Sus scrofa: one gene and its partners. The main gene of each other region encodes a partner of the protein of the gene in region 2 in a complex. Links are inferred from orthologs where the notes say so. Each region holds a gene or a part of one and is shown on either strand. Other genes may lie near its edges.

Region 1 (3,874 bases), on a different chromosome or scaffold from region 2:
GGTCTCTGTATAGTCACACAGCTCCATTCCAGGAAGGCTCCAGAGTTCTGTCTACCTCTCCAGTGGAACTCTACCCACACGGCTCTTCAATGGCCCATTAATTCGAATCTGAAAGCTTGACTTGCAAGGAGAGTCTGAGGTTCCCATATTTCCCCAGGAGCAGGAGAGTTCATTCAGCTCCAGTTCTATTGGAATTAGTCTGCTCTCAGAGTACAATCTCTCTGCTGACCACCACCATCTGCTGTTTTTCCAGTGGTAACCATGAACTTTCCAAACTACTTGGCAGCCCCTGTGACTTATTCTTTTGACTCCAGAAAGCTCAGGTGCCTGGCAACACACAGGCATTCCTCCTCCATTTCCTTCAGGGACATCATACACATCACTGGGTTGAAACCCCTTAGGAGCGAATGTGCAGAATTTTCTTGAATGTCTTCTTAAAGTTCTCGTTGCACAAGGGGTAGATGAGGGGGTTCAGTGTGGAATTGATATAGCCCAGCCAGATGGTGAACATGTGCACATGCTCATTACAGCAGCTCTTGCAGAAGGCGATGACCATGAAGAAGATGAAGTAAGGAATCCAGCAAAGGATGAAGGCCGCCATGATAAAACCCAATTGTTTGGCGGCCTTCCTTTCTCGGTTCATGTGCAACCCAGACACATACTGTCTTGAATGTGAGCGGAGCCTCTTCCAAGTCAACTTGATATAATCCAAGCCTGTGCTAGACCCACTTCTCGGTTTGCTTTTTCCCGGCACTGGCTCTGTAGGAGTGTCTGAGTCTGTCCGAGAGGACTGGCTGTCACCCAGGGTCTGATCCTCTGATATCTCATTGGCCCCACGCATGTTCAGGCCCTGCTCATCCATCTCTAGCTGGCTCTGGCTGTGGATGACGGCTACATATCCCTTGCTGCTCCCCTCTGCCTCCATCTGCGTCTGCACAATGTTAAGTGTGAAGCAATGGAATTTGTCCAGTTCTCCATCCTCTTGGCTGGAGACACCTGGGGACTTCATCTCCACTGAGTCTTGGGATGAGGGCTTCAAGACAGGTCCACCACCAGCATCTTTCGGCTTCCTTTTCAGAACCTCCCAGGGAGACTCCTTCCCTGCTTTCTTAGCCCCCACCTTGGGGTTCTCTGGCTTCAGCTTAATTTCAGAGAAGGAAGGGAGGGACCCATTGATGAGCTCCCGGTGTTGACAGTGCCGCCGCACAGCCTTGTAGATCTTGGCATAGAACCAGAGCATGAGCAGGGTGGGCAGGTAGAAGTTGATGATGGCGGTCATGACTTTGAACCAGGTGACATCATAGAAGTCCGTCTCACACTTGTCCTCCCGGCGCCTTGAGGTCCGTGATACAAAGCGATGCCAGCCCAGAATGGGAATGACCCACAGGAAGGAGAAAAGCCAGGCCACCAAGATGGTGGCCGACGCTCGGGTCTTGGTTCGATACCTCAGGTACCTGAGGGGCTGCTGGACAGAGCGGTAGCGATCGATGCACAAGATGAAGACACTAAAAATGGACGCTGTGCTGGCCACGTAGTCCATGGAAAGCCAAAAGAGACAGAGTGGGCGGCCCAGGGACCACCTGGACATGAGGAGGTAGAGGATGTTCATGGGCATGACGATGGCCCCCACGATCAGATCAGCCACCGAGAGGCTGACGATGTACAAGTTCCCCACCGTGTGTAGCTTCCGCTCACTGCGCACAGCACACAGGACCAGCAGGTTGAGTCCCACCGTGACCAGGGAGACAGCGCTGAGGACCACCACCAGGGGCATCAGTTTAGGGTTGGCCATGGTGGTCTTGTTCGCCTCACACATATTGTCTTCCAAGGTAAAGGAGGAATTAGGAAAGGTCATTGGCACAAGAGTAGCCTCCAGCTCCTGTTCACTCCCTGGGAAGAAAGACATGAGGAGTCACGTCAGAGCCCTGGTGATCAGCAGACTCAGTGCTATCATGGTGATCAAACTGGGGTGTATGCTGTCAAGGAGCAACAGATGCTGCTAGATACCTACAGCCTATATCCCCCACTTCCTTAGGTCTTCCTCCCTCCCTCCTTCCCCCCCCTTCCTCCCCCCTCCCTCCTTCCCTTCCTTCCTTCCTTCCATGACTACTTATTATATTCCTGGGCATTATTCTGGGGTTGGGGATAGAGCAGTGGACAAAATAAAAATTGCTGCCCTCAAAGAACTCACATTCTATTGAGGGAGTTAAGCAAAAACAAAATGAGGTTTGTACATGTCCCAGGTTGCATGTGTTCTAGGAGAGAGGCTGCACCATGACTGGTCTAAGCTACACACGGCATCCTCATTCCTCTTTGTCAGTGGCTGGTCTATGAGTGGGTCTGAGACACAACTGTGGCCAAGGAAGTCTCAAGGAAAGGGGGGGGGTTGCAAAGTTCTTCCTCTCTAACAGATGCGCAAAAGAAGTGAAAGGGTGTTTCCCACTTGCCCCCTTTTCCGGACAGGGTGTGATGCTGGGGCTATAGCAGTCATCTTGGGTCACCAGGGAAAAGCCAAGAAAACCACTGAGATGCCAAGTCATAGTCCTATTATTACAGAGCAAGTGAACCAACCCTGGAATCTTCTTCTTCCAGGCTGGTTATCATGGGAAATAATTAAATATGCTTTTTTGTTTAAGTCACTGTTGTGGGGATTTTACTTGCATCTAAAAGCACTCCAGGAGTTCCCCAGTGACCTAGTGATTAAGGGTTCAGCACTGTTACTGCTATGGCTTGGTTTTTATCTATGTCCCGGGAATTTCTGCATGCAGGGGGCTTGGGCAAATAAAATGAAATAAACCTAAATTAAATTAAAATAAAAGCAATCCTAACCAATATGGGGGAGGTTACTAGGGCACACAGAGCATGAAATAAATCTCCCACATCTCCTCAGATGAATGGTTCTCAAATGGGAAGAGAGGCATGTTATTTTAGAAAGCATGTTTATTATTTTACTTTTATATTTGAATTTCTCATAACACAAACTATGCAAACTAATGTGTAACAAAAACATCTTTGCTGGTGGGGCTATCCTGAAAACAGATTGGAATCTCTTATAGATGATCCTCAATTAGAGTGGGAAGTCAAAGTATGTATTAAAACCTTCAGAAGACATTGTTTGATTTTTATATTCATCAAAAAGTGGTATGAGTTTAAAGAAAGCTGGGAAGTGCTAACAGTGTGTAACTGTCTCTTGATAATTTAGCAAAAACAAATTATTTTTACATTTAGATGAATCCAGATAAATTATTGAATAGAAGGCTAAATTCACATGATTTTTAAAGACAAAACGCAAGACCCAGAGTTCCTGTCATGGTTCAGCAGAAATGAATCTAACTAGTATCCATGAAGATGCAGGCTTGATCCCTGGCCTCGCTCAGGAGGTTAAGGACCTGGCATTGCCATGAGCTGTAGTGTAGGTCACAGACACGGCTTAGATCTGGTGTGGCTATAGCTGTGGCTGTGGCATAGGCCTGCAGCTACAGCTCCAATTTGACCCCTAGCCTGGGAATCTTTATATGCTGTGGGTAGAGGCCTAAAAAGACCAAAAACAAACAAACAAACAAACAAACAAAAAAACCAAAACCAAAAACCAATACCCCAAGTAAACAAATGGCACCTAATTAAACTTATTCTGTTGTACAGCAAAGGAAACTACCAACAAAATGAAAATACAACCTACAGAATGGGAGAAAATATTTGCAAATGATATGATCAATAAGGGGTTAATAACCAGACTACACACACAGTTTATACAACTCAACATCAAAAAAAAAAAAAAAACCAGAAAAAACTGATTAAAACATGGGCAGATGAACTGAACAGACATTTTCTCAAAGAGGAAATGCAGATGGTCAACATGTAACCATACAAGACC
Region 2 (3,874 bases):
CTACCATGGTCCACCATGCTCACTGCGGGGGGACCTCGAGAAACCTATTTTTCTTTCTAAAAAAAAGGAACCGTTTACTTACTGGAAGTTGACTTTGTCCACCTGGAACTTGGTCTCAAAGATTCCAGAAGTCAGGACGCGGCAGCGGAGCAGGTCCTAAAACAAAGTCTCAGATTAAGCGGTCTCACCAAAACCAACCCAAGTGTTAATCATTGCCAACCTGGAGCAAAAATGCTGACTGGCTTGGAAAGAAGACTCTGCATCCTCTGCCCTGTGAGAAGGGGTGCATACCTGGTCGCTGGGCACGTAGTCAGCCTGCTTGATGACGTCAATCTTGTCCAGGAAGCTGGGAGCAGAAGAAAGACACACGGGGGTGACCACACGTTCAGGCCAATTTGCCCACTATTCCTGCCCAGCCACAAGGTCCAGCTAAGCGAAAACGACCATCCCATGAAGTTCATTAGGGTCAAGCGGATGCCTTACAAAGGTTCGCGCAAATAGGATTTAAGATAAATCAGGACCCCTGGCCTACAGGTACAGCACAGGCCAGTTGGGGGGGGGGGATCTGATCTGGTTTTAATTTGAAAAGACTCGCTCTGTGCAAATCCATCCGCCCAGGGCCCCAAATCAGGCCTGACTGTGTGCCATTGGGTAATGCCTGAGTAAAACAGTACACCCTCAGATTGTTTGGCTTTGACTAAAACGGCAAGTCGTTTGAAAACTGTACACTTCCATGTCAGGGAGTTTTTGAAAAAATGAAGAAAAAAAAAAGGGCACGCTTAAAAGAAGCAAGGATTTTTTTCGCCCAAAGGACGAATGAAGATGAGATTGCTGGATTAACTCAGAAAGGGTATCTCTCCTTTTAGGAAGTGGCCCTCTCGGCCCGCACCGCACCGAACAGGAAACAGACACCAGTTCCCTTCCGTCCTGCTTGGTCCGTGAAGCAGACCAGCCCAGAGAGGAAGCTTTCAAAGCACCTCACCGCCATCCAGGTTTGGGGCCCCAGGCAGGCAGGGGGCGCGCACCGTGGCGGCGCGGGGTCTGGGGGTCTCAGGGGTGAGAAGGCTGTCTAGGGGTGAGAATGCTTCCTCCCTCCCAGAGTCGGGAGGCTCTTTGCTTGGGTTGCCCGACTGGACACACTGTTAGGAAAAATAACTTTTAAAAGACTGGACTGAGGTAATTACCATGGAAAGTTAATGTGGAAACCAGCTTTTGGGGGGGGGGGAAGGGGGGATGGGAGGTGTTGGAAAGTGAGCTAATCAGAGAAGAAAATCAAAGCGAGAAAAATTTAAAGAAATTCTATAAGGTGGTGCCCCCCCCCCTTTCCTTTTCACCAGTTTAAAGTGAGTCTGGCTTCGAGGATACACTAACTTGCCCAATCAGGCTTACATTACAGCACCAGGCCAGAAATAGCTCCCCAGCCGCCCTGGCCTCCAGCACGTTGCCATGGCAACCGAACCACAGGTCTATAAATAGCTCATCAGCACCAAATCTTGTGAGAGAGACATCTGGAGGGGGGCCAGCCAAAGCCCAGCTCAACAAATAAAAACAGGCACCTTAAGGAACGGGCACGTCCCCAGGACCTCGGCCGTAACCTAAAGGCAGTTACGCCAGAAACAGGCGGGCTACGAAGAAGGCAGGGCTGCTGGAGGCGGCTGGCCGGGGAAGGAGACATTTTAAAAGGGTCAAGCTCTGTTCTCTTTTTCTCGGAGTTTCCTTAAAACTTTCCATAAACTGTGCACATGCTGCCATTTGCAGATAAAGTTGCAGGCATGCGTGGATAGGGCTTTCGAAAAACTTTTAAAAAAAACTTTTGAAATGGTGTGCGATTTAAAAAAAAAAGAAAAAAAAAAAAAAGAAAGCTGGCTAAACTGAATTAATGAAGTTGTTACACCCCGCCCCGCCCCCCCAGGGCTCTTAAGAATGGGGTGGTCAAAGCTGCCTAATCCTGTACCTGTGCTTCTGACTTGGATCCAGAAAACAAAAGGCAAACAATTCCAGGATTTCCATGTGTTTTGTGTTACTATAATTAGCACTTCCAGCTTTAAGCTCAAACTTTTGAGAAAATCAGGGACTTTGTTGAAGAAGGGGTGGGGGTGGGGGTCACGGCGACCGGCCCAGATGGACTGTTTCTCTGTTCCTTGAAAAAATATACAAGTTTGCTTGCGTGTTAAGTCACAAAATAGCTGTAGGGGTGACAAGTGAAAAGCATCGAGTGCCCTTGCTGTGGGAAAGCAGGGCCGGTGAAGGGACGTGGACAGCTTTCGCAGACCCCAAGAGGAGCTCGGGTGCTGTGCAGATGACGGGGTTCTGGGGAGCTGGCTTTGTGTGGCCCCAAGTTCCTCAGGCGCGGGGCTCCTGGGTAATGCACGATTTTAGCTTTTGGCGAGCCAGCCTCGTCCCTGGGTCCTGATTACTGAACATTTTCCAAAGCAAATTGTTGGCGTTTCAGTTACTTACACGAGGGGCTGACACAGGATTATCGTATTGTCAGAAAAGACAGTCCAACTTGAGAGCACGTTGCCTGAGACCGCTTGGTACATGTGTGCGACACGAGCAAACAGAGGGTCTCTTTGAGATATTTTTCACGGCTCTGAAGGCCATGTGTCTACCGCACGATGCACAGGGTAAGACAGGTGGTCAAGCTGTCTTAAAGGCAGCCTCCCGGCTGGGCGTCATCAGGCCCACTGCAAGAGAGCCTTGAAGGGACAGGAGGACAGGGCAAGGACCCCTTGGCAGGGGAGGCCCCTTGAATGAGGAACAAGGACAAGAAATGGCATCCAACATGGTGCCCACGCGAGATGAACCCTGGCAGCTGCTGTGGTCCCTTACGGGCGGTGGGGAGGTTGGGGCGGGGGCAGCACATGTCTGTCCTCACCATTCCTCTTTGGCACGTTTTTCAGTTGCGGTAAATACAATACAAAATTGCCACATTATCCGAAGTGTGAGAGCTGTCCCACCTCTCTAAATGCTTGCAGGTCAACTCAATTAATTACTTTGAGCTAATTAACGACGACCATGGCTTTATGGCAGGTGATTATCACTTTGCTCTGCCAGGCATTAAGTGTTTATATAAAATAACGTAGCTGCACTAAAACGTGCCATGAAGGCCCCTAGAAGATAAATGCATCAGACTAGAACCTTCTCAAGGCAGGTGAGACTACCTGGCTGGCTGCTAAGAAAGTACCTTGGGGCGGTGGGAGTGGAGGTGTGGGGTGTGCCCCGCGGGGCTCGGGCGGGGAGGGCACTTACTACTGGGCGCAGTCGATGAGCTGGTACTCGTTGGAGCGCTCGTAGCAGGCGCGCACGCCCTCGTCCTCCCACAGAGCCTTGGCATGCTCGTAGAACTCCTGCAGGGAGGGCCAGGGAGAGGGGTTGGAGGGGGCTGCAGGGCGCCCGGGAGACCCACCCCAAGGGCCGGTCCCCATGTCCAGGCAGCTTTAGGCAGGAGCGTTCCTACAGGACGTCGGCGGGCTCAAGGGCCCCCCCGAGTCCAGAATTACTGCTCCCGGGTTGTCATCAGCCTGTGCGTCGGGGGCCTGGGGGGGAGAGGCCGGACTGGGCCGCCCAGGAACTGGGTTTCTTCAGAGTCGCTTCTACGGGAGGGTGTGAGCTGGTCAGGAGGCTCTGGGTGGGGGGACAGGACATGTCTTTGTGATGAGGTTGTGGGGCACGTTTTCTCAGCTTTGGCCAAAACTATGACGGTCGGGAGCTGCTGGCCAGTCTGCCCTGTGCTTCTGGGGACGGTCTGCCAGGAAGAAGCCAAGGGCCAGCGACCTCTGCGTTGTTCTCAACGGCAGTAGGTCACAGGTCACAGGTCACATCACGTGGGGGCACGCTCCCCTTTACAAGGAAAGAGAAGGTCTCTCTCCAG
Region 3 (4,312 bases), on a different chromosome or scaffold from region 2:
CTATCATTTAATTATTTTTCAGCTTATTAAAACACTTTTTTTGCTCTGAAAGAGAAATCTAATTCAATTCAAATATTCTCAAAACACACATACACAAAAGGCATGGGCAAAAATACAACACAGTCACTTTCAATACACACACTTCTTTAGATCTCAGTGAAGCATGGCACAAAAAACAGCTTAGTTTTTAATAAACTGTATAATTTGACTGCCCTTCTGCTTCATGGTTCAATGCAAAAATTTTAAATCAATGTTTAAGTTTTTACGTTACTCACTGTATTGAGCGTTCTCTCCAGAGAGTTAAGACATAAAACATTTGGCTTTCTGAATGACAGTGTGAAACCTTCAGTGTAGCAATACTTTGACATACATTAAAAATTTTTTTAAATGCTATTAATTCATCACTGTATTTTAATCTTCCCTGTTAAAAGAAATAAATTATACATGAAGCCCAAACAGCTGGAAAGAACCCAGAAAAGCGACAAGAAAACGATGACTTTTAAAAATGCTGACGCTTTTCACACCCAGGTTCAGTCATGCCAGCTGGAGAGAGGTGTTAGATATGGCTTTATTCATTTTAAGTCTAAGAAATACAGTCATTTCCATGACATTCTAAAAACTGGAACCAAGATAAATTTATCTTCATGGTCCTGAATTAAAAAGCATTAAAAAAAATCATTTCTGCAAAATCCAAGGTATTTTGGATGGATCATTTGTTTGCTAATGCTTAGAGTCAAATTATTTTGTCCCACATTTCCCAGTGAACCAGAATACAAAGAGATAAGAAGGACACACACACACATACAAGACACACGGTGACCCAGTATCTGAACCACTTCAGACATGGCATCCATTAAGGGGGCCTTTGCTCCTAACTGTGTAAGGGTCCTTAGCTATCATCTGACTTGCACAAGAAGCACACATGGCCCCGGAGAGGCGCTTTAGTCCCCTTTGGAATACGCTGTTGGAAAGACTATAAATGACACAGTTGCAGAAACTGTTACTAATAGCAAGCCAGGTGGTCAAGAAGGATGCGAAGCGGTTGCTGTGGCCAGTGGAGCTCTCCAATAAGAAGTAGATGATGTATGGCAACCAGAGGATGTAAAATACACTAGTGATTCGGAACAGGACCATGGCATAGCGCTTATCAGGACAGGCCTGAACCTCCCCAGTCTCCCCACTCTGGCTGCTGAAGCGGGCTTGCCTTTCGCTGATTTCCTTTGTGTGCTGTTGGCAGATGCGGAAGATGTTGAAATAGGTGAAGCACACAATGAGGGCTGCTGGGGCATATAACATCATCACGATGAACAGGGTGAAGTAGGGGCTGGTATACCAGGACTCCGCACACCACTGAAACACATCTCCATGATATCCAGGTTTGCCCCAGTGGAAAAAGGAAGGCAGGAAGACCAGGGTAGAGTATAGCCAAATCAGGAAAATGCACAGGCGTAGTCTCCAGGGTGTAACCAGTGTATTATAGGTCAAAGGTTTAGTGATGGCAATATACCTATCGATGCTGATACAAGCCAGAGAGGCCATGGAGACACTCTTCAGAACTGATACTACAAAACCAAATACCTGGCAAGCCAAGGACTCCTCCACTGGAAGGGGATAGTGGAGGAGTGATAAAGAAGGGATCAGGCAGCTTATTCCAACCAAGAGGTCAGCATACGCCATAGTCTGGATAAAATAACTTGTAGTATGGTGGTTCAACAAAGGTGCACAGTGAAATACAAAAATCACAATGATGTTGCCAGAAATAATCAATACAGTTAGAAAGACAATAATTAATACTTCCAAAAGGCAAAAATTGACAGTTTCCAAATAGCCAAATGCCAAGAGGCAAAAAGGGTGGCTGCTCTGATTACCATCCAAGGTAGAGTTCATCTTGAGCTCAGGAGTGATCTCTCACTTCATGCTGCCGCCTGGCTGCTGCCAACAGTTCAATGGAGCAGCTGCTGTCATTGCGGCCAGCTCTGTGTGTCTGTAATAATGCCCGAGGAGCCTTAGTCCCCAAGCTCCCGATGCTGCTGCTCTGATGCATTGCCTGCAGTGCAATTCCCTTTTAAATCCTCCTTGGAATAGGGAGAACCAGCAGCAGTTGTCTGGCCAGTCCCAGATGCGGCCATAGTACCAGGTTTACCATACACATAGCACCGGGGGAGTAAGGCAAACTCTGGTTACAATGTCTTCAGGCCAATGAGGGTAGGGGGTAGGGGCAGAAGAGAAGGGAGGAAGACTAGGACTTCAGCAGGAGTTGTAATGAGTCTCCTCTGAACAGCTGATAGAAGAAAAGGAGAGAGTGTTTTACATTTTGCATCCAATGCCCTCATCAAGAACCTGGCTAGCTCGGGCTGACACCACCCCTCCCACTCTATCCTGCCACACCCGGTACATCTATTCACAGCTACCCTCAGTAGCACCCCTTACTCTACAGAGGAAGCGCAGTGACAGCAAGCTTTCATGATCAACATAAAAACAAAATCAATTGCAAATGAGATCAATCTAAGCCCGTCTCCTTTCAACTGAGCCTTTTAAGGGAAAAAAGAAATCTGCATATAGCATTTCTGAAAACACTTTACTACAATTACCACTAATAATACTAACCAATATAACTTACTTTCTTCATTCATTCCAATATAATATTTTGCCTCTTAGAAAATATTTCAACAGCACTGAATTGCCTAGCTCAATTTCCGAGTGTTACCTGTAATTCTGCATGCTGCGATCCAAACAAAAGCCGCAGAACATCCTTAACAGAAAGCCTTGCAAAGCAGGAATGTGCCTTAGCCCCGTTTACTGCAGAACTGAGCCACAGAGGGAGGGGATAAAGGAGTAGGAGGGGAAATAGGGAGAAGAAGGGGCTTGGGAAAAGGAAGAGGCGGGGGAGGGGAAAGAAAATGCCTGTGTGCGTGCACACTCCGGCATCTTTAGCAGCTCATTAGAATTCATCGCCAGAGAGGTGCTCCCCGATTTTCAGATCACACGAGGTGGGGGTGGGGGTGGGGGTGGGGGGGTGGGGGGGTAATTTAATATGCCTGCAGTGCAATGTTTGAAAGCTGTTTCCTCGTCTGTCTGGAATCCCCCTCTTAACAGATGAACTGAATTTAGTAAGGAGAAGGGACAGTAACCAGGACAGAGCGCCAGCCAGGAATTAGATTGAAACACACTGCCAGAGGGGTAATGGTGAGAGGAAATTCCTATTTCCTTGTAGCATTTCTCAGGGAACAAAGAGCAATGTTAAAGAATGAAAATGTGTTAACAGTTCATGACAACTGAGGACTCATAATTCAGCACAAGAAGTCCTAGGTAGAAAGCTACATATTTGGCATTAATTTTCTCTCATTATTCACTAAATGCTGATCAATTTTAAGAAAGATGGCCAAAATAACAAGGAAATCTAAAAATTCCGTTTTTCAAAAGAAAAAAATAAATTCCATCCATTCTGAATATGCAGAAATAGCACACAGATGAAAGAGGAATTATGCTGTTGCTGTATTCAACACTATCCTATAGTTTTCAGATGCCATTACATGCTTCTAGTTTGCTGAGAACTGGTACACAAATATACAAACAAAAGATGGACAAATTAAATGTACCCACTTCCACCCAGGTTTGAAAACTGGAGGAAGTTTCATGGTACAATCTGTGTACCTTAAAATACACAATCTTCTTTGCGCCTACTCAACACAAGGCAAATTGGGATGATACTGTGGCTCTTCAGATGATGTCTAAGTGATGATAATTTTCAGCTAACTGGGAAGTGTCAAATGATAACAATTTTTAATTATATTACATGATCCAACTTTTATTTTTTGTTTCACACACATGCTTTCTCATTGCAGGCAATGGCCACTCATTACCAGAATTCAATCAACTACATTTTAAGATTTAAAGCACTGTGCGTATCACACCAAAGGCAAGAAACTCAAAAAGCCTATTAAGCATAAGCTTGATAGCTTGGTAGTACTTGACAGGTCTTAGAGGAAAAGATGGAACAGCGAAAAGATCCATGGCACTGAACACCCATTTGGCTCAAATCCTTGCTCTAATATTACTTAGCCTCAGCTTCATCATCTGCAAAATAAGGATCATATGCCCTGTTTCATGAGGTGATTGAGAAATAAAGCAGAATATGTATACCAAAAATTAGCCATTACCTCGCACATTAAGGGAATATAACTACTTTTTCCTCATACTACTCAAACAGCCTTTCCTGAATAGTCTACTTTCCCACAGATCATGTTGTGGTGCTAGAGGGTGGGTTCTTGTGAATCCTAAGGTGCCCTCTCTTACTAGGACTGCCAATCTT
Region 4 (4,620 bases), on a different chromosome or scaffold from region 2:
ACCTGAGTGGAATATTACTTGTGTATTGGTCATCCTCTATTAGATGCAAAATCTTTGAGGATAGAGACATATCATATTTGTCTATGTATCTTCAGGCTTAATGCAATGCTTGGCACATTATAAATAATCACAAAAATTTTTTGAATAGATGACATTTAAAAAATATAACACTTACATAGAAACTACTATGCACCAGACATCTACCCCAATGATTTACAAATATTAATTTAATACTCATTAGAAAAACTCCCTTTTATAAAGGAAATTAAGACACACAGAGGTTAGATTATTTGTCCAAAATCATACAACTTCTTAGAAGGTGATGGAGTCGGGTATGAAACCCAAGCAGAGCCGTGCCAGAATCGGTGGCTCTTAATCAATACTGCTTTGCAAAAAAAATGCTGTCTTTAAATTTAAAATATTTGTATATACATATATGTATAAAAATATATATTTTATTATAGCATTGAACTTAGAATAAGAAGACCAGGGTTCAAATACGCATTAGATTTACTTGGTTTGCAGCTTTAAGCATGTTCATTAACCTAATGGGTCCTTAATTTCCTCATATATGAAATCAGAGTAGAAGCTGGCACCTCGCTAAGCTATTGTGGGCTTTAAAGGAAATAATTTATGTGAAAATACCAGAACATATTCAGCACCCGGGATATGTTATTTGGTGTGCCAAGGAGTATGGTACTATTTTCTTCTCTCCTTTCAAAAGGGTATATATATTTGCACATTACACATCATATAGGTCTTAGCAAAATGAGACCAAATTCTGTGTTTCATAAAGCATTGTTTCCAACATCTCTTAAAGTTAGAGTAAATTCACTAGAGCATTCTCTGGACAGTCAGATAAGCTTCAAACTCAATAGCTTGTTTTCTAGAAAAAAAAATTTCTTTCCCGGAAACTGTTACGGTAAACATCTACCATTAAGGGAAACAAATCTCTTTCTTCTAATTGGGATAATAAATTATAAATATTTTCTTTAAGATAAAAAAGATTAGACTGACAATAGAACATACAGCATTTATGTTCCAAGACCCTCCAATATTAACGAGCTCTATCACGTCAAAAAAAAAAAAAAAAAGTAAAAATGTAGACCCGTCCCTCAGATATTCTGACTTAGTTTTGGGTAGGGTCCAATATTTTTTTTAATGTTCTCCCATTGGTTCTAATTTGCAGCCCGAACATTGGTTTGGGTTATCAATGAAAATACCACGTCTCCTGTTTCTATTTTGTTTTTACTCTAATAAAAAACAGCAGATAATATCTTCATTCCTTTCAACATTGAAGGAATCTGAGAAGTTCACCAAGAACAGAGTTTTCTTCAACTCCGAGCATCAACTTAGACCACAACTGTAAGTTTTCTGTGTTCTTGTCAATAAGTTATAATGAGGATTTCATGTTTACTATACTTGATATGTTGGTGTGGTCAATAAATAACCTTAGAGTATTTTACAATGACTATTACTTTTGTGGCTGTAGTTCCTGAAATTAACTATAGAATAGAGGCATAAAATCAAAGCAAATCCCGGCCAATGGATGTTTTGAGCTATGTTAAAATATTGAGTAGAAATAAATGCCCACTGAGAATACTGACTTAAACTGCAAAGATGTTTTGCAAATCTAATCACCCTAGATCCTCTCATAATGCTAGCATGGAACACCCAGAAATTCTGACTTTTTAAAGCTGAGTTCTAACTGGACACATAGTAGGTTAGTAACATGATATTACAAATGATAAATCCCACAACACTAGATGCATTCCTACTTTGTCTCTGATGGCACATCAAGGTTGCCTCAAAGTATCAACTATTTGCTTTTCTATTATCATTTAAAACACACTCCAACTTGGACACTCTGCTACTTACAGATTAGTTGCAGAAACTATAGGGTCACACTTTGGTTTATTTTGAACATTTCAATTTCAATCACCCAACAATTTCGACAAATAGCCTTGAACAGATGATTTGGTTCAGGTTAACTACGGCCGTTAGGGTCTCCTGAACATCAGCAATGGAACACTGCCTTCTAGTCTTGAATGTACTATGTAATACCAGCTTAAAGCTTTTAGATAGAGCTTTTCTTAGGTAGATCTGCAAAATAAAGTCTAAATAATGGGTTAAAAATCTAATTGGATTGTTGATTTTTGACTCTGACTGGATTTCCTTGGACCTCAAGGAAAATGAATGTTTAGGGAAGGAGAACTAATTTGTGAGAGCTTTTCATGATGTCTTTCACCCAGGCTTGGGAAGAGCATCATGAAAAAAGAGTACCCTTTTGGAAACTACGCACACAACATATTTTTCCTAATAGGTGTGAAGAATGGCTGCTATGCATAAATGATTGTTGGAAAATAATTCTCTGTAAAACATGACTTAAGAAGCAACTCCATTCACCACTGTACTCATTTCCAATATCTAGAACAACTGTGACACATCACATAGATGCCGATATTATCTGTTTATGAGTTAATAAATACCTTTTAGAAAAAATCCACAATTTTCAGTGTCTAATTTTCATACCCAGGAAGCAGGAGAATAAAACTTTTGGAGGAAAATTTATATTAACGGCAAGTAAAACTCACACAAAATCCTAGGATTTGTCAATATGAAACCCTAAGTTTTAGTACCTTCCTAGACAACGAGCTTTTCTTTAATCAATGTTAAGGTGAGGTGACTGAGACTAAGTCGACCCTAATCAGAACCTGAAACATCACAATCAAAGTGCAGTTTTGTCATCAAAAAAACAAGGTATCTGGCGCATCTCCACTGTTAACCATCCCCTAGAGAACATCCTAAATCTTAAAGCCCAGCTCATTCCAAGACCCTCCTTACCTGGAGCAGTCTCACTGGGCTGCCGGGCACAGCTCAGTGGAAGCGAAGGTCATTCGCAGGTGGTGGCTCCAGAGACTCAGGAACTCAGGCTCCAGCGCGCATCTCCTGGATTGGAGATTCCAGCCCCTGGGCGAGGTGCGGACGGCGCGCACCTCTCCAGCCCAGGAAGGTCCGAGAAAGGCGCGGCGCAGCCCTCCCAGGGTCTGGGGGGCTGGCCGTCCTAGTGAAGAGCAAAGTACATTAGTCCGGAGCGCTCCCTCTCCTGCCCTTCTCCCGATTTCCTGACACTCTAATTCTGCCTTAAGTGATCATTTACACCTAGCCCCAGCTAGTATATAGGCTAAAAGGCAAGGGCTTCATCCCCATGCTTGATTCCCACCTCCCCAAAGTCCAAGAGGCTCACCTTCCCGGCGCCTTCCTTCCCAGCTGTGAGCTCTGCGCAAACTTCTCCCGACTTAAGTCTTCTCCTGCCCGCTCCCCCGCCCCTCCCTGCCCGCTCTCCCTCCTCCCGGGCAGCAGAGGAGGTGGCAGCGGAATTGATGAGCGCCAGCCCCCCCGCCCCCGAACTCTCCCGCCCCCGTCAGCCCGCTCCTGTCCCTGGAGAGGGAGGGGGAGCAGGAGAGCTCTGAGCGCCTACGCGCCAGCCCCTCTCGCCCTGGCCCGCGAGTGGGGCTGCACCCGCACGGCTGCCTAGCTCGAGTCCCCGCGGGGGCTCACCCCACGAGACCCCAAGAGTAAAAAGCGGCGTAAACACGAGAAGCAGGAGAGGGACCCGAGTTAGACCTTGGGGAGGGGGTGACAGTCTGGGCTGGGGGATTCATAGTGTACAGGGAGATAGCTTTCTAGGAGCCTTGTCCCCCTCCCCAGAGGACGCAAATTCCGGAGGGAGGTGAGTTTCCAAAAGAACCCACCCCTAGAGACCGTGCCACCCCGGCTCCTTCAGCCGCTGCTTGGGGGACAGCACCACCTGGGAGCCTGTGGAGAGGGTCTCCAGTGGGCGAGGTGGTGAAAGTGAGATGGAGATGGGTGGGAAAACGTTTGTCTAGGAACTGGGGTGCCGAGAGAAAGCAAGGGAAGGAGCTGGGAGGCAGGAGGTAAGAAGAGGGGCTGGGGGGTCCGCAAAGTGTTGCCAGAGCGTTCAGAGTTGGGCAGCTGTCTGGGGCTGGAGGCGCAGACTGGATTGAGGGGAACAGCTCCCTTCATGTAGGGGCTGCTGGTGGGCACAGTAGCCTACGACGGGGAGTGAGCACAGTGAGGAGGTGAGGAAGACGGGGGTCTCGAGTGCCTCTCCCCCACTAAAGCCATTGATGCCAGGAGGAGCCCGGGACAATCTGATTCCGGGCAGGGCGCTACTCCTGCCGGCTGGAGCGCTCTGGAAGGCGGGCAAGTTGGTTCCAAGGACGCACAGCCCTCAACATCCTTTAGCCCACCGCTGGATAGAGCAAGGCAGCAGCGGACACTTTTTTTCCTAACTCTGTTCAAGGGACTTTGGGCTAAGAGAGCAACATCTCGCCGTGTCCCGAGACTGAGACTGCAAGGTGGTCGTGGACCGTCCAGGTTACCAACACTGTTTACTCAGCAAAAGAAATAAAGGCAACAGCAACCAAATAGGACGGGAAGAAAGCCAGACAACAACACAGAACACTTTCCGGGGCAGTCCGAGTTTCTCCTAAGCACTCAGACGACAGAGGTGCCCTGTGAATGGGACGGCAACCTACACCCATCCGTTCTGTGATCCCTGCCCTGGAGAGATTGCACTAGGCAAAAGGTGCGTGT
Region 5 (4,381 bases), on a different chromosome or scaffold from region 2:
CAAACATGCATCCCAATCAGAAATCCCTCAGGGCTCCAGCGCCTGGAACTGAGCTGACAGAAGGAAAGGGCTCCGCCAGGAGTAACGTTTTCTAAGGCGTAAGATTGCTTTGTGCGTGAGTGTGTGAGAGAGAGAGGGAGACAGAGAGGGAGAAGCAGATTTTTCCTTTCTCAACATTGTCATTTTCCTGCATGGGAATTCAGGATATTCCTCGCTGTCCAGCGAGAAGGGAGAGCGGCCCCCCTCCCTCCTAACTTCTGATCTCGTCGGGAGTAAGCAGGGCGCGCGCGCGAGCGCCCATTGCCTTCAGCAGGGCGAAGATTTGACCGGGAACAAAAGAACGCTTGCCAATCGGAAAACGCTACCCGAAAACAGGATAACTTCTCTTTGTGTTTTGAAAACTAATTAGCAAATGCCCTTGGTTTCTAATACCCATTTAAACTTTTCAACGCATATTCCAAGGATCAAATCATTGCTTCTGCGACAAAGATGGGATCCCAACACGCCGCAGAACTAAGAAAAAGAGGATAAATACTCTCTCTAAACCGTACAGTGTTCCTGGGCACTCGGGTCGCAGGTTTTTTGTTTTTAATAGCCATTTCCCCCAACACTGTTTTCTTATGGCTCCATTAAAGCTATACCAGATCGCTAGACCCTGGGCCGTGCTCGCGGGCAGGGTGACTTGGGGTCGGGGTCCCCAGCGCCCGCGGCTCCCCAACCCTCTCCCCTCCAAGGGGTCTGCACTTCCTCCCGCCTTACGTCGGCCCCTTCGCCCGACTCCAATTTCTTCGCGGTCGCGGCCCCTCCTCCTTTTTACAACTGGGAGCGGGGATGAGAGGGGATTGTGGCCTCACGTGGTCTGTTAGAGTCGGGGGAGAGAAAAGCAATCCGCGATGCGCACCCTTTTCTGGCCCCATAGTGAACCCTTCATTTAGGACCCCGCTACCCAAAAGTCCCCCGCCAAGCCCAGCATTTTCAGCTCGGGGAGGGCTAACGTGACTCCGAGTCACGTCCCTATCTGCCGTGGCGCTGCTCTATTCTCAGCTTCTCCCCGTAAACTTCCCCCGTGCGCCCTTCTATTCAGGAATGTGTATTTTAGAGTACCCGGAAGAGGAACAAATCTTTCAAGCAAATTCCCTTTCTGGTGCGTTCCCCCCTCCGCTCCCCCCAGCGAATTCACGGTAAAAGTTTTTCTTAACTTTTCCCTCCCAGCCCCCGCCCCTCCCCTCAGGAATCCGCCCAGAGCGCTGCAGACTGTGCCTCTCGGGTTCCCTCGCCCGCCCCTTCCGACTTCCACCCAATCCGGAGGCGACCACACAGAAAACAAAGGCTGCCATTGGGCGGTCTTGGAGCTCCAGGGCCCGCCCCCGGAGTGGTTTGTGAATGGGGGGAGGGGAGAGGGCGGGGCGGCCCGGAATCCTGCGAGCGCGACGCTTCTTCTGCGGAGTTGCTGGGCTCCGAGACGTTACTCTGCGCTCCCTCCCGGCGGGCGGCGGCGGCGGCGGGCGCCGCGACTCACCGGCCGGGGCTGCGCGGGACTGGAGAGGCCAGGCCCAGGCCGCGAGCACGGGGGCCTCATAGCTTTGGACGCAGTGTGACTGGATTTCTTCAAAGAACTCGCAGAGCTCTTGGCTCCAAGACGCCGATAGGACTCAGAACGAGAATCAACCGTTTGGCTGAAACTTGGGGACAAGCTTTTGGGGCTGAAAAAGGAGCAGGGAGTGGAGAAGAAGGCGGCGGAGAAGGAGGTGGCGGCGAACTGAGCCTCGAGGCAAGGAGGCGGAGCAGCACCGCAGAGGCGGCGGCCTTGGCTAGCAAGCCGCGGCGCCGGGCTCTCGCTCGCCGGGGGCCCAGACGCAAGCGGGGGGCGCGCGCGTTACTGTGCGCTGTGAGTCAAGAGACTTGGGCAAACTTTGAAGGGTAACCGGAGACGCTTGTTGCTCTTCGCCGCAGAAAGAGCCGCACCGTTACGTCCCGGCGCGAGGAAAAGGCGTCTCCCCCCCATCGGCGCCCCCGGCCCAGGCAGACGTGTTTGGGCCCCCGGCGGCTGCGCGAGTGCTGGGCGGAGGCGGCGGCGGCGACGGCGCCCTTGCGGCGCGAGCACCCTAGCTACAGCGCCCTCGGCTCCGCACCGCCCACGGCCCGGCCCCGGCGCCGGGAGGACTCTCATGCGCCCGGCGCGGCGGCGCCTGCCGGGATCCCAGCCTCTCCTGGCTGTCTTGTCGCGTTTCTTGGGCTGAGAGCGCCGCTGCACCCGCGGCCGGCGATGCGGGGCCCCCGCACGGCAGCGTCGCCCTCGCCTCTGGGCCTGTGCACCATGGTGCTTGCAGTGCTGGGCGCACTGCCCGCGGGCGCCGGGGCGCAGCCGTACCACGGCGAGAAGGGCATCTCAGTGCCGGACCACGGCTTCTGCCAGCCTATTTCCATCCCTCTGTGCACGGACATCGCCTACAACCAGACCATCCTGCCCAACCTGCTGGGTCACACGAACCAAGAAGATGCGGGCCTCGAGGTGCACCAGTTCTACCCGCTGGTGAAGGTGCAGTGTTCTCCCGAGCTGCGCTTCTTCCTGTGCTCCATGTACGCACCCGTGTGCACCGTGCTCGATAAGGCCATCCCGCCGTGCCGTTCTCTGTGCGAGCGTGCCCGCCAGGGGTGTGAGGCGCTCATGAACAAGTTCGGCTTCCAATGGCCCGAGCGGCTGCGTTGCGAGAACTTCCCTGTGCACGGCGCCGGCGAGATCTGCGTGGGCCAGAACACGTCCGACGGCTCCGGGGGCCCAGGCGGCGGGCCCACCGCCTATCCTACAGCGCCCTACATGCCCGACCTGCCCTTCACCGCGCTGCCCCCGGGAGCCGCTGACGGCAGGGGCCGCTCGGCCTTCCCCTTCTCGTGCCCCCGCCAGCTCAAGGTGCCCCCCTACCTGGGCTACCGCTTCCTGGGCGAGCGCGACTGCGGCGCCCCCTGCGAGCCGGGCCGCGCCAACGGCCTCATGTACTTTAAGGAGGAGGAGAGGCGCTTCGCCCGCCTCTGGGTGGGCGTGTGGTCAGTGCTGTGCTGCGCCTCGACGCTCTTCACGGTGCTCACCTACCTAGTGGACATGCGGCGCTTCAGCTACCCGGAGCGGCCCATCATCTTCCTGTCGGGCTGCTACTTCATGGTGGCCGTGGCGCACGTGGCCGGCTTCCTGCTGGAGGACCGCGCCGTGTGCGTGGAGCGCTTCTCAGAAGACGGCTACCGCACGGTGGCGCAGGGCACCAAGAAGGAGGGCTGCACCATCCTCTTCATGGTGCTCTACTTCTTCGGCATGGCCAGTTCCATCTGGTGGGTCATCTTGTCGCTCACTTGGTTCCTGGCCGCTGGCATGAAGTGGGGCCACGAGGCCATCGAGGCCAACTCTCAGTACTTCCACCTGGCTGCGTGGGCGGTGCCCGCTGTCAAGACCATCACCATCCTGGCCATGGGCCAGGTGGACGGGGACCTGCTCAGCGGGGTTTGCTACGTGGGCCTGTCCAGCGTGGACGCGCTGCGGGGCTTCGTGCTGGCGCCCCTGTTCGTCTACCTCTTCATCGGCACGTCCTTCCTGCTGGCCGGCTTCGTGTCGCTTTTCCGCATCCGCACCATCATGAAGCACGACGGCACCAAAACGGAGAAGCTGGAGAAGCTCATGGTGCGCATTGGCGTCTTCAGCGTGCTCTACACCGTGCCCGCCACCATCGTCCTGGCCTGTTACTTCTACGAGCAGGCCTTCCGCGAACACTGGGAGCGCACCTGGCTCCTGCAGACGTGCAAGAGCTACGCGGTTCCCTGCCCGCCCGGCCACTTCCCGCCCATGAGCCCTGACTTCACCGTCTTCATGATCAAATACCTGATGACCATGATCGTAGGCATCACCACGGGCTTCTGGATCTGGTCCGGCAAGACCCTGCAGTCGTGGCGCCGCTTCTACCACAGACTCAGCCACAGCAGCAAGGGGGAGACGGCGGTATGAGCCCCAGCCCCTCCCCCACCCTTCCTTCTCCCACCCCCACCCCCCTCGCAGGGGGAAAGGCGCGGTAGGGACAGAATTGCCGGGTGGGGGGCTTGTTTCTGTAACCTCCCTCCCCTCCAGTGAGAAGTGACCTGGAAGAGAGACGATAACGTGTAGATTTGGGACGAGGCGTGGGTTTGGAAAGGAGGCCTGAGTGGAAAGGCGGTTTGGATGAAAAGACTTGTGGCCGAGACTCCAGGGTGATGATGATGATGGTGATGATGATAACAACGCTGTAAATCCTGAACGGTCCAGGCCGACCCGGGCCAGTGGAGAGGATTGAGATCCGATGGTTGCTCTGAGTTCTTCCGGCTCTGGGCCTGTGAGCGATTCCCTTGCTGCAAGACAAGT
Region 6 (2,807 bases), on a different chromosome or scaffold from region 2:
CACCAAGTCCTCTGCTCTGGCAAAGGCCAATCTTCCAGAAGAAGGAAAGTGCTCAAGAGTTTGGGATAAATCAGAGTATGTTGTATGTGGATATTGATACATGGTCTTAGCAGTTCCTACATCTCTAGGAGCTGGATGTTAAGTCGCTAGACTTGCTGCTCCTATTCTTTCTGAGACTACCAATTTTTGGTGAAACAAACCAAAAATTCATAGGATCATTGAAACTTGAATGTCAAAATTTGAAGGGACACCTAGATGACATACTCAGCCTCATAGCTTTACAAATAAGAGAGGATCAGATAAAGTATGGCACTGTTCTCCTGAGTCTTGGTCCAAAACAGACATTAGTTGGTATCAGTGGACATGTTCCACTTGCACTGATTGCTCAGGAGAGTTACTGGGGACACAGTGTAGTTGAACTTGAGGCTCTCAATCCCATGATGCACTGAGATACTGAAATGCCAAAAGGGGGCAGAAGTATGCCTTCTTTTCATGGATGCTTAGAAGACAGGGTGAAATCTTTCATTCAGATTTTCTGTGGTTCCTCCTTTTGTTCATCTTATCAAGCAAAGGCTGATGCAGTGTGAGCCACCAGCTAAAGGGAAATAATCTAAGCAAGACTGAGATCAGCTTTATTGAAGTAAGAGGGAGGCTCCGGGTAGGCAGATCCATTGGATCTGCACTGCAGGAGTCACCCTGAAATGAGCACCTACATGCGATTAAAGTTAATTCCAGGATCATGGAATGAATTGCAGAGAAAATCAAGTCTAACCTTCCCATTTTACAGGCTCAGAGAAGCTGGATGATTTGCTTTAGGTCATACAGCGTATGGGGGTCAAAGACATGGAAGAATTCAGGTTTTTTACTCAAGGATGGAATATTTTCCCTAAATGATTCTGATCCTTTCACAAGTCTCAAGGATGTTGCTTATGGTTTCTATATAGCGTACTTATCCATGCATGAAATGAAACAAGATAAAGCATGGTGGCCGTGTCTACCAAAGGCCCTGTGGTTTAGGAGAGCATGTTGGAGTAGAAGCTGAAGCTCTCTGTCATAGTCTTGGAGTCGCTGCGAGAAGAGCCGTTGGAGGTCCGGTCCGGGATAAGGGCATGGCTTTTGGGCCTTCCTCCAGCTCTTCCTCATGGGCCCCCACCACGGTGGAGACAGTGGTCTCCAGGCGGCTGACTTTATACACACTGCCCTGGGTCTGGAGGTACCGAGTGGATTTCATTTCGAGCCCCTCATAATCACCAGCACTGATGAAAGGACAACACCGAAAGGCATGCTTGAAGCCCAGACGAAACCTGGAGAGAGAGTGGATGGAGAGGTAACCCTTGGTAACCCTTGGCTATAGCCTCTTTCCCACCATTGCGTTAGCCCCTTAATACTGGACGTATCCAAATGTGACCCTGTGTTGTTATTATTTTTTTAATTAATTGACAGCTGGAGATGCTAAGGACAAAAACCCTTAAAGGTCATCATCAAGGTCAACTCTGGGACTAGAACTTAGGTTCACATGAAGTGCATGTCCATACTGAGAGCAGCTGTTGAAATATGCTACCTCCACTGGTTTAAGGTCAGGTGATTTTGGATAAACAAAAACATTCACTAAGTAGTTACCATATGCACAATACTGAGTCAAGACTCAGTCCTCTCCTTCAAATAGCCCACTGACTTTCTGTCAATCATGTCCCTTCAGAGTGCCTGTTTCCATGTTTTTTAAATAGGAAGAATCAGCTTTTACTTAAAAACATGCTGGGAGATTTAACCTAGAAATGTTTAGGCAGGTTGTGAGGCTCTCAGAAGAAAGACTAATCTGTGAATTAGACTTTCAAAGATCATTTGGAAAAGTCCCAGAGAATATCTCTCCCCAGATTTATAGCACCTGAGTGTCTCACTCACAGAGGGTACCTTATAGGCTGGTAACTGCTGGCTATAAATGTGACAAGTATTTTATCCCTCCCCCTCTCTCTCTTGCCTCCTTTTCCACACAGAGGCTGGGGTGGGGGGTGTGCTCTGGATGACTGAGCTGCCACCGGGGTATCCCAGTCCCTCTTGGGGTCTCTGCACACTATGGGGAATTCTTTCCTGTGGACCACCACTCCTGATGGACTCTCCCTTCTCTTACTTGTCTGAGATTGTCATCTACACCAAAGTCTCTCTTGACCCTTGTGGCCAAGAAAAGGCAGAACAGGCCTTTAAGGCCATGACTTCTTTTTGCTTACCCTGTCCTGCTGGAAGTGGTAGAAGAAACCGGGAAAAGTGGTCCAGATTGTATTATGGGATGGGAAGAGGAAAATGAGAGATCAGAGAAGGAAAAAGATGCCCTATGGTGGGTAATATTAGTGGCATCCCCTTCTCTCTCTCTCTCAGTCTAGGATTCTCACTCCTCATTCACTCGCTGACTCTCTGTCTGTATGCACAAACCCTGTGTGCATGGGATCCATAGCGTAGACTGAAAAAATTCATGACCTTGATCAGTCTTGCAACATGCTTTATATGCATCAATGACAAATGTTTTCAATCTGCCCCTGCCCCTCCACCCTCCAAAACTGACTTTGTAACCAGTGTTTAAAAGTCAGAAGATTTCACACAAAATATGAATTTATGGTTCCTCTGGAAAAAGGAAAAAATAGCTCCTTGGGGCTCATGTTCTTGCATGGTGTTAATCGGCAGAGATTGAACAGCATGATCATTAGTTTTCTGTAGTCCCTACCACTCCCATTTACCTTTACAGCTGGCTTTGCTCCTTTGGGTTGGCTGCTTGATCATAGGTAAATGATCTTGTCCCCAGAGAGAGTATGGGG
Region 7 (4,429 bases), on a different chromosome or scaffold from region 2:
TCAGGGACAGGAATAGGGAATGCACTGGGGGCCATATCCCAGTTGGCAGAGGGGTCAGGTGTTGGCGCACACCCTGCCTCCTCTAGGGCACCGCAGGGTGAGGCCTGACCCCCAGGCTCCGGCTGTGGCGCTAGACACCAGGCTGGAGTGGAGTTGGGGTTGCTTGGCCTGGTTCCGGCGGCTGGGCCAGGCTGCAATTCCCCCAAACGGCCACCAGAGGACAGCCGGCCCCCAGCGCAGAGGAATTCTCGGTTTCTAAGGTGATGGCTTCTTAAAAAAATAAAAAACCAGAGGCTGGTGTGTTCCCCCTTCCAACCCTAGGGGGGCGGGCCGGGGGAGAAGGCTCTGGCTTCTATGATCTCTTCGATAAAAAATAAGCAAAAATAATAACAAAATACGTGGTTTCTCTTTCCCTTTTCCCTGTCTAGGAACTGAGGTCAGAAATGGGAGTGTTGGGGACTGGGAGTACCCTAGTATGGCCTGGATTTCAAGGTGTGGGCCTCTTTTTCCCCTTAACACCCATAAATAAATTCATAAATAAATAAATAATAGATACTCTCTTCGTATGTGCACATATATACAGATATAGCTTTCTCTTATCTAGGCAACGGAGGAACAAACCTCTCTGACTCTTTAGATCAGAAACTCAAAAGTGACATGGTCAAGGTCAAGGGAGGCAGAAGATCAGGGACTTGGAATGGCACTGTAAAACACCCAGCAGCATACTGGAACTCCCAGCTAGCTGGGCTGTGGGACATTTCTGAGTGGAACCCTGATCCCCTGAACATGCTAGAACCATGGAGCTGGCTGGGCCCTGCAGGGATCTGAACAGAATCCTGTGAAACACCCAACGTCCTAGAACTCCAGAACCAGCTGGGTCTTGGGGTGTGGAGCTGGGGATTTGCAACAAAGCCCCGGAGGACCTAACATTCTGTAATTCTGTAATGATCAGGACTGAAGGGTCGCCAGGATGCAACTAGACGTCACTGGGAGAACGGGATCGGAAGGGAATCTTGGAAGAGGAACAGCAGCAGCAGACAGCCCACAGCACCTTCTGCACGTCCTGGTTGCGGAAGGCGTAGATAATGGGGTTGATCATGGAGTTGTAGGTAGCAGGGAGCAGGGTGAGATAAGTGTAGAGGGGCGGGGACTGGGCATCACCCAATAGGCAGTAGACGGTGAAGGGCAGCCAGCAGGCGGCAAAGGCGCCAAGCACCACGGCCAGGGTGGCGATGCCCTTTCGGGTGGCCACGTAGTGGGAGGCAGGCAGCAGGTGCCGCTGGAGGGCAATCTGCTGGGCATGGCGGCAGACGATGCGACAGATCTGGGCGTAGAGCTGCAGCATGATGCCAAACACCATGAAGAAGGCAACGGCCAGGACCACCAGATGGTTCTTGGAGAGTGGATATACCACACCACACGTGGCCGGGGCATCCAGGCAGTTCCAGGCCAGCACAGGCAGCAGCCCCAGGCCCAGCGCGCCCCCCCACACTAGGGCCAGCATCACATAGGTCCGAGTCACTGTGGTCTCTGAGTAGTAGGTGAGGGCATTGTACAGGGAAAGATAGCGATCAACAGTGATGGCCAGTAGGCTGCCGATGCTGGCAGTAAAGGCCATCGCCATCAGGCCAACCAGCACCAGGCTCATCTCGGCCGAGCCAATGCAGAAGACAGCAGCAAAGTGCATGACCAGGCCCAGGCCTGCCAGCAGGTCTGCCACAGCCAGGCTGCCCACCAGCAGGAACATGGGGGCACGGAAGGCGGGAGTGCCCACGATGATGGCCACCACCAGCGCATTCTCACAGGACACAAGGGTGCCTGAGATGCACAGCACTACATCCCAGGCCCTAGGTGAGGGCAGTGGTGCGTCTGGGTCTGTGGGGCCCTCTGTTGAGCCGATGCTGCTCATGTTCACGTTGCCCGGGCCAGCAGAGAGCCAGGCTAGGGGGCTGCCTGCACCCCACATCATGGTACCTGCAGGAGAAAGGCCCTGTGAGACGCTGGTAGGGCTGGGTGCTGTGTGGAGGGGTCTGGAAAAAGCAGGAGCCTCTCCTCGGGAGACCTGGCGGGTCCCAATGACTTGTCCCCCCCACTCATGCCCTGGAGCACTTTGGCCTCTCCCACGCCCCCAGGAGAGCAGGGGTCTCTTTTCCTGAAGATCCCTGTCCTGAGTCCCTTCACTTTCCCTTCCAACTCCCCAGAGTCCTGCAGGCCTCTTTTTCCCACGTGTGTAACCAGAGGAGGACAAGATGAAGGACTACTAAGTGGTAGGATCCAGGAGAAGCCGGGAAAGGCCCAGAGCTGGGGGAGGGAAAAACAGCTCAAGACTGAGGGCAGCTCTCCTCCCTCCCCACTAGAGAGGATGACGCTCCCTTTCGGAGGCTCAGACCCCTCACGATTCTCCTTTGAGCCAACCCCAGACTCCGCCCCCAGAAAATGCTCGTGAACTCCCGCCAGCCCCCACCCTGCACTCCTGGGGTAACAAACACCTGGGAAGTCAGCCCCCCAACACACAGCCGCCCAGACTTCTGTCCCCAGCTAGACCCCTCTTTCTGCCTGAGCCTCCGAGTCTTTGGAACAGTCACCCGCTGCTGGAAGCCTGGATCCCTGAGTCAGATCCCTCCTGCCCTGACACCTGGATTTTTGGCCTGACTCCGCCTCCTGCCCGGATGTCTGGATCCCTAAGTCGGACACCTTTTCCTGCTCGGACGCCTGGGTCTTTGCCCCAGACGCCTCCTGCCCGCCCAACCTCAAATGACCATCAGTCCCTTCAGGGCCTCAGGTCCTTGCAGGAGTGCTCACCTCTCGTCAGGTCACCCAATGGACGGCTCTCAGCACCCAGACACTGGGTCCCCTCCTGGTAGCCCAGACTCTGCGTTCCCAGACTCGAACTCCGACCCCGGTCAACTGCTGGGAGCCTTACCGCCTCCCCAGCGCCCCTGCATCTTGTGTGCCCTCCCGGCAGCCTGGTGGCCGCGGCGGGGCCCGCTACTCACCTCTCGGGACCGGGCGCGGCCGGGCCGCGGGGAGGCTCCGCTTGGGTCCGGGCTGCGCAGGGTGTGCGTGGACCCCGAGAAGCCCCCGCGGCCGCGGGAGAAGCGGCGTGAGTCACCCCGCCCCGCCCCGCCCCCGGCCACCGGTTCGGTGACGTCAGCGACATCACTGGCCAATGGGTGCTTTGCGCTGGGGCGCAACGCGCGCCGCTAAGCATAGTAATGAGGCCTCGTGCCTCCCGCTCCCCCATTCATAAAAAGCGACCGTGGCCGCGGCCCCGCCCCCTCCTGAGTCGGCCTGGGCTGTCCTTGACGTGACGCCCTCTACCGCCGGGGGTTTCGGGGCGCTGGTTGGAGAGCCTTGAAATCCCAGGGAGGCTGCGGGGGATGTGTAAGGGAAGTGGAAGGGGTACCTGGATAGGCTGCCGGGTGATGGGACCCTCGGGTGGTAGAGACAGGCGGACGGAATTCAGGTGACGGGGATCAAGTGATGAGGCTGAACCGGCGTCCCAGGTGAAGATGACGCAGGGTTGCCAAGATGATAGGGCCCTGAGGTGACAGTGACAGGAGCACGGGGAGCAAGGAGGTGGGTGGCAGTGACGGTAAGAGCATGGTGACAGGATCTTGGGTGATGATGAGGTAAAGCGGGAAGCTCCCAAGGCAACCAGAGCCATGTCAGGGTGACTCTGTGGCATGATGGGGTACAGGGCTCCCAGGGTGGCAGAGGCAGAGGCAGGGGAAAGAGAAGAGGGATTATCAGGTGACAGGACTTCAGGTCACTGTGACCCTTTTCCAAGTGCTTAAGCGACAAGGCTGTGATGAAGGTTGTAGGGTCCTGGAATGAAGATACCAGGTGCCGGTGGTGAGTGGGCCCCAGAGTGAATGGGACAGGGTAGAGGATCTGGACTGACAGTGACCAGGCAGGTAAGTTGCTGCCAGGGCAGGCCCTCGTGATGCTGGGCCTGGCATAAGGAGCTGGCTGACGTCAATCATGTCAGCCCAATAGCGCCCTCAGAGCACAGGAGGGGTGGGCCTGGCAAGATTTCAAAACCTGAATTATTTATTCAAGGATCTGGAAAGCCAGCAGGGTAGCAGTGGTGGGGGCACTTCCCCGAAGCAGCAGGAGTGGGGGAGCCGGGAAGAACTTGGAAGCAGAAAACCTGGCAGCTCAGTCCCCAGGGCAGGCACCTCTCAACCTCCCATCTTGGGCACCCTGGCAGGGCTGGACGTGGAAAAGGAGCTCCCTCTTCCCCAACCTTGCCGGTTCCCAGGGCACCTTTCAGCTGACTTCTTCAGATGTGACAGATACAGCCAGTTCTGGGGGAGGGGAACTGGCTGCTTCTCCTCCCTCTGTCTCTAGCTTTGATCTTCATGGGAATCAACCGGGCCAGGCCTGTGGGATGGGGGTGGGGGGCGGGCAGGGACTAGGTTAGGGC

What was found.
Region 1: the proteins of GNAS (region 2) and HRH1 are in contact, whole or in part, in a cryo-EM structure (PDB 9LRB), measured with the Homo sapiens proteins. The link is inferred for Sus scrofa from reciprocal best matches to the Homo sapiens genes GNAS and HRH1. Residues at the interface, in NP_000507.1 of Homo sapiens: Gln35, Arg38, Ala39, His41, Lys216, Val217, Asn218, Phe376, Cys379, Arg380, Asp381, Ile383, Gln384, Arg385, His387, Leu388, Gln390, Tyr391, Glu392, Leu393, Leu394; in NP_000852.1 of Homo sapiens: Asp124, Arg125, Ser128, Val129, Gln130, Pro132, Leu133, Arg134, Leu136, Lys137, Arg139, Thr140, Ile213, Ala216, Val217, Gln219, His220, Cys221, His223, Lys412, Ala413, Gln416, Leu417, Cys471, Asn472.
Region 3: the proteins of GNAS (region 2) and GPR21 are in contact, whole or in part, in a cryo-EM structure (PDB 8HMV), measured with the Homo sapiens proteins. The link is inferred for Sus scrofa from reciprocal best matches to the Homo sapiens genes GNAS and GPR21. Residues at the interface, in NP_000507.1 of Homo sapiens: Gln35, Arg38, His41, Val217, Pro321, Asp323, Arg342, Asp343, Leu346, Arg347, Thr350, Tyr358, Cys359, Pro361, Phe376, Cys379, Arg380, Asp381, Ile383, Gln384, Arg385, His387, Leu388, Gln390, Tyr391, Glu392, Leu393, Leu394; in NP_005285.1 of Homo sapiens: His61, His62, Thr64, Arg127, Ala130, Ile131, Thr132, Pro134, Leu135, Thr136, Tyr137, Asn138, Thr142, Pro143, Ile214, Ile217, Cys218, His221, Thr222, Asp224, Ile225, Arg228, Gln229, Arg231, Phe232, Arg249, Tyr250, Val253, Leu254, Asn308.
Region 4: the proteins of GNAS (region 2) and CALCR are in contact, whole or in part, in a cryo-EM structure (PDB 7TYY), measured with the Homo sapiens proteins. The link is inferred for Sus scrofa from reciprocal best matches to the Homo sapiens genes GNAS and CALCR. Residues at the interface, in NP_000507.1 of Homo sapiens: Lys34, Gln35, Arg38, Ala39, His41, Val217, Phe219, Tyr358, Phe376, Cys379, Arg380, Asp381, Ile383, Gln384, Arg385, His387, Leu388, Gln390, Tyr391, Glu392, Leu393, Leu394; in NP_001158210.1 of Homo sapiens: Arg180, His184, Glu240, Tyr243, Leu244, Leu247, Ile248, Val249, Val250, Ala251, Val252, Phe253, Glu255, Lys256, Ile319, Val322, Leu323, Lys326, Met327, Glu329, Thr330, Lys340, Lys343, Ala344, Ile347, Leu348, Leu351, Tyr391, Asn395, Asn396.
Region 5: the proteins of GNAS (region 2) and FZD7 are in contact, whole or in part, in a cryo-EM structure (PDB 9EW2), measured with the Homo sapiens proteins. The link is inferred for Sus scrofa from reciprocal best matches to the Homo sapiens genes GNAS and FZD7. Residues at the interface, in NP_000507.1 of Homo sapiens: Asp381, Gln384, Arg385, His387, Leu388, Gln390, Tyr391, Glu392, Leu393, Leu394; in NP_003498.1 of Homo sapiens: Pro285, Ala364, Lys368, Trp369, Gly370, His371, Ile374, Ile450, Ile453, Met454, Asp457, Thr459, Lys463, Leu464, Leu467, Lys552.
Region 6: the proteins of GNAS (region 2) and TACR1 are in contact, whole or in part, in a cryo-EM structure (PDB 7RMH), measured with the Homo sapiens proteins. The link is inferred for Sus scrofa from reciprocal best matches to the Homo sapiens genes GNAS and TACR1. Residues at the interface, in NP_000507.1 of Homo sapiens: Arg38, His41, Val217, Phe219, Tyr358, Phe376, Cys379, Arg380, Ile383, Gln384, Arg385, His387, Leu388, Gln390, Tyr391, Glu392, Leu393, Leu394; in NP_001049.1 of Homo sapiens: Met63, Thr67, Asn68, Asp129, Arg130, Ala133, Ile134, Ile135, Pro137, Leu138, Gln139, Pro140, Arg141, Leu223, Gln239, Ala242, Lys243, Val246, Met249, Leu308, Asn309, Phe312.
Region 7: the proteins of GNAS (region 2) and GPR3 are in contact, whole or in part, in a cryo-EM structure (PDB 9LYB), measured with the Homo sapiens proteins. The link is inferred for Sus scrofa from reciprocal best matches to the Homo sapiens genes GNAS and GPR3. Residues at the interface, in NP_000507.1 of Homo sapiens: Gln35, Arg38, Ala39, His41, Val217, Phe219, Asp323, Asp343, Leu346, Thr350, Tyr358, Cys359, Phe376, Cys379, Arg380, Asp381, Ile383, Gln384, Arg385, Met386, His387, Leu388, Gln390, Tyr391, Glu392, Leu393, Leu394; in NP_005272.1 of Homo sapiens: Met75, Arg134, Ser137, Leu138, Tyr139, Ala141, Leu142, Tyr144, Tyr145, Glu147, Ile216, Ile219, Val220, Arg222, His223, Gln226, Ile227, Leu229, Gln230, Arg231, His232, Lys244, Gly245, Thr248, Arg300.

Annotation. Positions count from the first base shown.
Region 1 is NC_010455.5:67,406,125-67,409,998, reverse strand, and holds part of HRH1 (histamine H1 receptor), read right to left. Parts: intron 1,891-3,874; coding exon 398-1,890; 3' UTR 1-397. UniProt on the Homo sapiens protein: G-protein-coupled receptor for histamine, a biogenic amine that functions as an immune modulator and a neurotransmitter.
Region 2 is NC_010459.5:59,047,414-59,051,287, reverse strand, and holds part of GNAS (guanine nucleotide-binding protein G(s) subunit alpha), read right to left. Parts: intron 3,351-3,874; coding exon 3,253-3,350; intron 347-3,252; coding exon 292-346; intron 157-291; coding exon 83-156; intron 1-82. UniProt on the Homo sapiens protein: Guanine nucleotide-binding proteins (G proteins) function as transducers in numerous signaling pathways controlled by G protein-coupled receptors (GPCRs).
Region 3 is NC_010443.5:263,952,025-263,956,336, reverse strand, and holds the start of GPR21 (probable G-protein coupled receptor 21), read right to left. Parts: upstream 2,843-4,312; 5' UTR 2,708-2,842; intron 2,282-2,707; 5' UTR 1,888-2,281; coding exon 838-1,887; 3' UTR 1-837. UniProt on the Homo sapiens protein: Orphan receptor.
Region 4 is NC_010451.4:73,400,161-73,404,780, forward strand, and holds the start of CALCR (calcitonin receptor precursor), read right to left. Parts: upstream 3,067-4,620; 5' UTR 2,845-3,066; intron 1-2,844. UniProt on the Homo sapiens protein: G protein-coupled receptor activated by ligand peptides amylin (IAPP), calcitonin (CT/CALCA) and calcitonin gene-related peptide type 1 (CGRP1/CALCA).
Region 5 is NC_010457.5:105,642,745-105,647,125, forward strand, and holds the start of FZD7 (frizzled-7), read left to right. Parts: upstream 1-1,419; 5' UTR 1,420-2,266; coding exon 2,267-3,991; 3' UTR 3,992-4,381. UniProt on the Homo sapiens protein: Receptor for Wnt proteins.
Region 6 is NC_010445.4:68,017,015-68,019,821, reverse strand, and holds part of TACR1 (substance-P receptor), read right to left. Parts: intron 1,305-2,807; coding exon 1,052-1,304; 3' UTR 1-1,051. UniProt on the Homo sapiens protein: This is a receptor for the tachykinin neuropeptide substance P. It is probably associated with G proteins that activate a phosphatidylinositol-calcium second messenger system.
Region 7 is NC_010448.4:84,608,743-84,613,171, reverse strand, and holds the start of GPR3 (G-protein coupled receptor 3), read right to left. Parts: upstream 3,066-4,429; 5' UTR 2,997-3,065; intron 1,975-2,996; 5' UTR 1,970-1,974; coding exon 977-1,969; 3' UTR 1-976. UniProt on the Homo sapiens protein: Constitutively active G-protein coupled receptor that maintains high 3'-5'-cyclic adenosine monophosphate (cAMP) levels that a plays a role in serveral processes including meiotic arrest in oocytes or neuronal development via activation of numerous intracellular signaling pathways.